2 linked regions of the Sus scrofa genome follow. The protein of the gene in region 1 interacts with the protein of each later gene in a pairwise test. Links are inferred from orthologs where the notes say so. Each region holds a gene or a part of one and is shown in the gene's direction. Other genes may lie near its edges.

Region 1 (3,747 bases):
TTTATCTTTATTATTTGCTTTGCTTCTAATTTCTGTGCTATATTAAGGCTTTCTTACACTTAAAAATATAAATTTAGACCATAAATTCCCTCCAAGAAACTTGTTTAAGCAAATGAAATCCAATAATATATAAAATTATAATAAATCATACCACAAAAAGGTTTTTCTTGGAATAAAAAATGGTAAGTTAAACAGTTAAAACCTAGCAGTGCAAATAATCACAACAACAAGACAGGGAGAAAATAATATGATAACCTCTCAAAAAAATGCAGAATACTACATGATAAAATTCAGTAGCCATCCATAAATATGCTTTATATTTGAGAATTTACTTTTTTAACCAATATAATAAAATGCACTTGCAAAATTAAGAGGTACCGCTTACAGGGCATAGAATATGCTATGAAAGGCTGGTCTAACACAATACCACACAAAAAAGGATGAAAGAAGGGGAAACAAAGAGCCACTGTGAGTCAAATTAGCAAGAGAAAATAAAGGCTAGGGTCACAAAGGGCACAGGGGCTAATTAAGCCAGCATCAAGCCCACTGAAGTCTGCTGCTTCTGCACAGAGGGAGGGAAGCATTAGAAATCACAATAACCTAAGACAGCTGACAGGCACTAAAGCAGTCACAGATCACAAACGCTCCCTGCTAATGTCTCACAGGGGAAAAAACGTTTCCAACAAAAGCCGGTAAGAATTTCCAGAAAACAAAGAGCAGTCTCAAGTCTTTTCAACACAACTAAAGGGATTAAAGCTGCTAGCAGGGAAAGTCAGGAAACCCATAAATAAACATGACAAAAAATACGACCCACACAGACATAAAATGGAGTGAACAAACAAAGCATTTATAAAATTTATGCACGAGATGTTTCAGAAACAAGACACCCTTTTAAACATACGGGGCTTTAAAACAAACGAGGATTAGACGCTTTAAAGAGAGATGTATGAAAAAGCATTCAAATCACAGTGTCGGAAGGAACAATGGAAGCGATTGAATTAAAACCTCAAAAGGCTGGGATTCCTTTCCCCAGGAGAGACGCGGGGGAGCAGGGGCTGCGTGCAGAGAAGCGGAGACGCTGCTTGAGCCGAAAGCGGGCAGCGCTGCTGGCTGCGAACAAAGAAGGAAGCCGGTCAGCATTCCTGACGGACCGATCGGACCGATCGTGCAGAAGTGATGTAGGACCGATGTTGCCTCCACAGGAAGTGTCCGGCGCTGCCAGAGAAGGAAGTAGGAACACAATTACAGGAAGTAGGGACCGGGGGAAGCAGAAAATAGATGCACACTTCCTAAAAATCAGCCCCGAGCTAGCGCCCGGCCTCCGGGCCTCAAGGCTGACACAAGGAGACACCGGGGTAGTTCCGGTACCATTTCTGGGGAGCAGAAGCTGCCATGGAAGAGCCTGCAGCTCCCACAGAACCCTACGAGGCAGCTGGGACATTTGGGGACATCGAGGCAGCCGGGGAGATCAAGCCTTGGCCCACCCTTCCGGTGCCTCCCACCTCCCGGTGGTCTCCGGCTCCAGGCCCAGCCCCCTTCCGTCCGTCACGTGTGAGGCCCGCCCAGGAGTCAGGGGGAGGGGCTGGGCCCAGATGGCTGCCGGGCCGGAGCAGTGGCAGCTGGACAAAGGAAGTGGTCTGCAGGTATTATCTGCATGCTCAGTGCAAGGAGGGGGAGAACTGTCGATACTCCCATGACCTCTCAGGGCGGCAGGTGGCCAGGGAGGGCCCCGGTTCACCACCCCCAGCCTCCACAGACAGTGGCCCCAGCGCGGCTGCGCACGCCGAGGCCCTGCCTCAGGAAGTGGCGGAAGCCCCCCCGGCTGTGTCCTCACGCTCTTTTCCTCTGATTGGCTCTGCTGAGAGGGTTTTCTTTGAAGCCGAGACTGAATATGCAGGCCTTGAAGCTGCGGGAGGAGCAGGTGCGGAAGGCTGGGAGCATGCCATTGAGTTTGTTCCCGGGCAACCGTACCAAGGCCGCATGGCCCCTCCTATCTACGTGGCTCCTCCACAGGGCTTGCTGACTGTGAGGGAGCAGTTTGCCTTGGGCCAGAGGCAGCAGCTTTGCCGCGATGCTATCATGGGGCAATGCTTTCGTGGGCCAAGCTGTATGTATCTTCATGGAGATATGTGCGATTTGTGTGGGCTGAAGGTCTTGCACCCCTTTGATGGTGCTCAGAGGGCAGACCATAGAAGGGCCTGCATGGAAGCACATGAGCAGAATATGGAGCTCTCGTTTGCCGTGCAGCGCAGTGCGGACAAAGTGTGTGGCATCTGCATGGAGGTGGTCTATGAGAAAGCCAACCGGAATGATTGCCGCTTTGGCATCCTCTCCAGCTGCAACCACACCTACTGCCTTAAGTGTATCCGCAGGTGGAGGAGTGCCAGACAGTTTGGGACCTGGGTCGTCAAGTCCTGCCCCCAGTGCAGAGTCATCTCCACCTTTGTCATTCCCAGTGAATTCTGGGTGGAGGAGGAGGAAGAGAAGCAGAGACTTATTCAGCAGTACCTGGAGGCAATGAGCCACAAGCCCTGCAGGTATTTTGTAAGAGGCAGGTTCTGCCCATTTGAAGAGAACTGTTTTTACAAACATGCCTTCCCTGAGGGCCAGGGAGAGGAGCCCCAGAGGCAGGGTGCTGGGGCACCCGGTCCTTGGCGTGGTCAACTTTTGGAGCCTCCGCAGGTGGGAGAGGGCGACATGCCCTTTAAAAGCTGTAAAAAAGAGCTTGTCATGCTTTGGCTGGCCAATCTGTTGTGTCAGTGTTTTCTTTCATGGGGAGCTAATGAGCTCCCCTGCTCAGAGACCCAGTGGGACTTGCTTCATTGTGAGCTGGAAGAATATTTCAATTTGAATCTGTGGCATTCTGTGGCATGTTGTATGGTGTGCTGAGGCTCTGTCATCTGCTCTTGCCTGTGTTGTGTTTATAGACACATCTGTCACTTACAGAAGCTGCTGAAACCATTTGTTTAGAGCATCCATCTCTGTTTTCTTGCCCATTCCCATTTCTTTGCCCCTAGGGTTATGGTGTTTCACTGTGCTAAAAAGTCACAAAACATCCTTAAAGTTATTGTTTGGTGAAATTAATATGACTGTCAGTTTATGGTTTATTTTGTCATCTCTGTTTTCAACAGGATTGACTCAGTTCTAGTCTAGTGTTTACAGAATGTCCACACTCATTTTGAAGCCCCTCAAGAATAAATGTGACAGGGTGAAGGGAGAAGTCTTAACTGAACAAGGAGCTTTTTGCTACTTCAGCCTTAAGAAATCGACCCTGGAGGGGCCTTGTGGTGCAACTGCTTATCTCTGTTGTTTACACATTTGTTGCTTCTCATCCCTTTCAAGTGCACTCTTTAACTTGTGGTTACCTTGTGGTTTTGTGTTTTACTTGACCAGAACCAAGTGCATATGTTTACATGTTTTTATCCTGTTTAGCTTGATGTGAAATTATTTATATTTGGAAGTAATATTTAAGAATTATATATATGCATATTAATGTGTGTGAAAGCGATATATTTGAGGATAAATATAAAAGATATACACCATTTTATTATGTTTATGTAGTACATACAGAGCTAGAAGCTGAAAGTTAAAGGCTGATAAGATTTGATGTTGGGTGAATGTGAGGTGTGTGAATAATTCTGTCCTTTTCACAGGCTTCTGTGATTAGCATCTAATGAAAGCAGCTATTTCAGTGTCTCTAGCCAATTGTGATCATAAAGAATTTACAAAATACCAACATTGGTAATT
Region 2 (3,747 bases), on another chromosome or scaffold:
TGGCTGGCTGTGCCCATGCCAGAGTACAGTCATGGTTAGCTAGGGCTACATTATTAGCCCTCTTCCCTCACCTGCCCAAGGCATGTCACAGTCAATGCTCAATCACTGACAATCCAATCAAAAAATGAAAAACACCAGTTGGGACGGAAAACAGTCTGACTCCAAAATGAGCAATGCCCTAGACCCAAACAGTGACTCACAGCTAAAAAATTCCCTCATCTGGAAGGGCTGAGTTAATTTTTCTAATTCTCTTTTTAAAATTTGTTTTTTGGAAGTGCCCTTGTGGCACAGTGGGTTAAGGATTTGGCATTGCTGCAACTGTGGCACAGGCTGCAAATGTCATGCAGGTTCAGTCCCTGACCCAGGAACTTCCACATGCTGAGGGTGCAGCCAAAAGAAAACAATTATACTGGTTTAACTGTTGGAAGCTTGGAAAATTCATATCAGCAAAAAGAAGAAATTAACTATTGCACATGTTAATACATAAATGTAGTCCATGTGATATTACAATTACATATTTAATGCATATTTACATTGTACATAGTACTTTGACACAACTTTTAGAAATATAAGACTTAGTGCTTTCCCCATATTTTAACGTCATTCTAAATGACTGCATAATATTTCTCATCAGAAAGTGAGGATAGTTAAAGGTACCTATAACTATGAGCACTGACAAGAGTTGTGTCATGAAAAATTACTTGTAAAAAGCTCTGTAAACTCAGTTCTTCTGCAGGATGGATTTATATATCCAATCTCCTTTTACTGAGCACTGAAGTTATTGCTGTTATTTTGCTACAGTAAATAAAGCTGGGCTATATTAATCTTGTTCATATATTCGGTTATTTCCTTTGTCAATATTGAGAGTGCTGGATATACGCTACTTCAAACTAACCCACTCACTCTGCAGATTGGGGAACAGAGAGGGAAAGGGGCGTGCACGGGCTCACAGAGCGAGTTAGTTGGAAAGTCAGTACTAGGAACCGGGAGTAAGTCCCTGCTGAGCAAGGGCAAGAACCAGAGGCCACTGGGGAGGTGAGAGGCGGTGAGGGGCGGGGATGGACCTCGGTGCCGCCGGCCAGGGCTCACCCTCCTGGCTGAAGCTGAGTGGTCGCCTGGCAACGCGGGCGGCGCGGCGTTCGAACGGAAGCGAGAAACCAATCAGGATGTCCGGGGCAAACCATTCCGGTGTGGTGGAGGGGGGAGCGGCGCGTTCACTTCCCCTTCCCCTGCGTCCCCAGAACTTTACTCTGGTGGGGGCTTGGAACAGTCGAGTCCCCTACCTCCTCTCGGGTGTTGAGGGCAGCTCAGAAGGACCTCCCGTGCTTCCCTACGCGGGGCTGGGGCCTCCCGAGACGCGTTGTGTGCGACCGTTCCCCGCCTGGGTCCGAGCTGTCAGCCTCCTCAAGACCCGCACTGGAGGAGCCGGACTCGCCTAGCGCGGGCTCCAGGTGAGGGCACGGGTGGCCCGGGGCGCCAGCCCGGGTCTAGGGGGTGCTCAGTTCACCCTGCGCCTGCTGTGCGCGTCCTCCCCGCGTGGTACCTGCGGCGAGGAGGTGGTACCCCATTTCACAAATGAGAACGCTGAGGCTCAGGGAGGCAGTATCCTAGTCTAGCAGAGAATCCGATACAGGTCTTTCTGCTCCATACCTCAGTCTCTAGTCTACGTTGATCTAAATAGATCTGCCTTGAGAGGCTCAGATGGGTCACTTTCTTAGCCTCTTATCAACAGGAACATGGACAGTAGAGCCCTGGCTGGAGCCCCATCTGGCTGTCCCTCTCCCGTGTCGTCCTGCGGGGTGGGGGTGGGGGGTCCCCTCCTGGACATCTGTCTTCACTTCTCCAGAAAGCCAGGGGGTGGACTTTGGGCTCACTTGGGATCTTTCTGCCTGTGGGGCTCTGAATTAAGTGCTGTCCCTCTCAGAGGCTCTGGTGGGACTGACATTTCTGGGCTAGGTGCCAGGGGGGGCTGCTCTGGCTCTCCAGTTGTTGTTGGATTCTTGGGAATCTACCACAGGTCGGCGGGAAAGGCTAGAGGCAGCCCCTCAACCAAAGACACTAGTCACCAGAGACTTTGGAGTTGGGGGTGGGCCTGGGATCCCTCCTGGTAGAGCATCTGACCAGGCTCTGTTTCCTGGGGACCCCCACCCCCTATCTCCCACCCCCAGGTTGCTGCTGTTGCTGTCCTTTTGTAGGTGGGGAAACTGAGGGTCTAAGAAGTTAAGCCCCTTGCCCAAAGTCATATGGTCAGACTTGGCAACTCTGGGGCTGGCTCCCAGTCTATCTGGCTTCAATCTTGGATTCCTAGACACTCAGAATGGTGGCATCTGGAAGTCTGGAATCTCTTTAAGTGGAGTTACTTACCCTCTCTCCTCCAAATCCACCTCCTTGGTGGGGGGGAGAGGAGTTCTGGAAGCTCAGAAAGAAAACAAGTCTTTCCTTCATTCTTTTAACAAATATTTACCAACTTCATATGGCCCCACCCTCCCCCTTCTCTATTTTGTTTTTCTCAGTAGCATTTACCGCGCTGATGTCCTATAATTTCACTTATTAGCAAGTTTATTATCTTCTCTGACTGGAATGTGACGCAGGGAGGGGTTGGGCTAAGTGAGGTAGTTACCTCCAGTGCAAAATTGAGGGGTGCCTAAAACCCCAGTAATCAAATGACTAGAGCTAACATTTGTTGATCATTTGCTGAGCGCTCTGCTGGTGGGAGTTCAGTCGATATGCAGCACAGCCCCCCAGCTCTGTCGCAATTACAGGTGCTTCCTCCTGACCTAGCTGTCCCACTTCTAGGTGGAGTGACAGAGGTGCAGTGAGGCTGCAGTGTGGTTTGTAATAGAGAGAGACGACACACATACTTGGTGGCCGTTGCTAGAGGCTGACAGGTTCTTTATGTACTGATGTGGCACAATTAATAACATAATTGATAATATGTTAATAACACATATTAAGAACAATATAACTGAGTTAAAGAGCAAGATGAAAACAGTACAGAGAGCTGTTGCCATATGTGTAAAAAATAGACTATATGTCCATTATTGTTTGTTTGTGACTAACATCTCACTGGGAGGACGTGCAGCTATCTCGTCGCAGTGATGCCTGCAGGGAGGGAAACTGGGGACAGGAGTGGGAGGGAGGTTTTTTTTTTTAACTTTATTCCCTTTAGAGCTTTTGAATTTTGAGCCACATACATATATCACCGGGTTAAAACATATATGTCTTATAGGAGTTCCCACTGTGGCGCAGTGGAAATGACTCCGACTAGGAATCATGAAGTTGTGGGTTCGATCCCTGGCCTTGCTCAGTGGGTTAAGGATCTGGCGTTGCCGTGAGCTGTGGTGTAGGTCACAGATGCGGCTCGGGATCCTGTGTGGCTGTGGATGTGGCAGAGGCTGGCAGCTGTAGCTCCAATTGGACCCCTAGCCTGGGAACCTCCACACGCTGTGGGTGAGGCTCTATAAAAAGGAAAAAAAAATTATATATGTATATATATATGTATTATAGATGATCTAATCATGAGACCACTGTCCTGTCTCTGTTCTGTCACTTGCTCGTGACTTTGGGTAAGTTTCTGTACTTCTCTGGGCCAAGAAAAAAGGCCATGATTGTGAGCTCAGGCCCAGGCAGAGGGCAGCCTGGGACAGGAAGTGGGCTTGGTTGTGGGTCAGTCCCAACCCCACCTTCCTCATCCTGTGTGCCAGGCCCTTCCCAAAGGCTTTGCATGGCAGTATCTCTGCTGCCAGT

The links. The genes of interacting proteins can lie anywhere in the genome.
Region 2: the proteins of MKRN3 (region 1) and FAM110A interact in binary tests that used the Homo sapiens proteins (3 or more experiments, as listed by UniProt). The two-hybrid records come from large-scale screens. The link is inferred for Sus scrofa from reciprocal best matches to the Homo sapiens genes MKRN3 and FAM110A.

The regions. Positions count from the first base shown.
Region 1 is NC_010443.5:142,498,487-142,502,233, reverse strand, and holds the start of MKRN3 (probable E3 ubiquitin-protein ligase makorin-3), read left to right. Parts: upstream 1-1,265; 5' UTR 1,266-1,392; coding exon 1,393-2,889; 3' UTR 2,890-3,747. UniProt on the Homo sapiens protein: E3 ubiquitin ligase catalyzing the covalent attachment of ubiquitin moieties onto substrate proteins.
Region 2 is NC_010459.5:34,435,196-34,438,942, reverse strand, and holds the start of FAM110A (protein FAM110A), read left to right. Parts: upstream 1-1,213; 5' UTR 1,214-1,451; exon of another isoform or gene 1,452-3,747.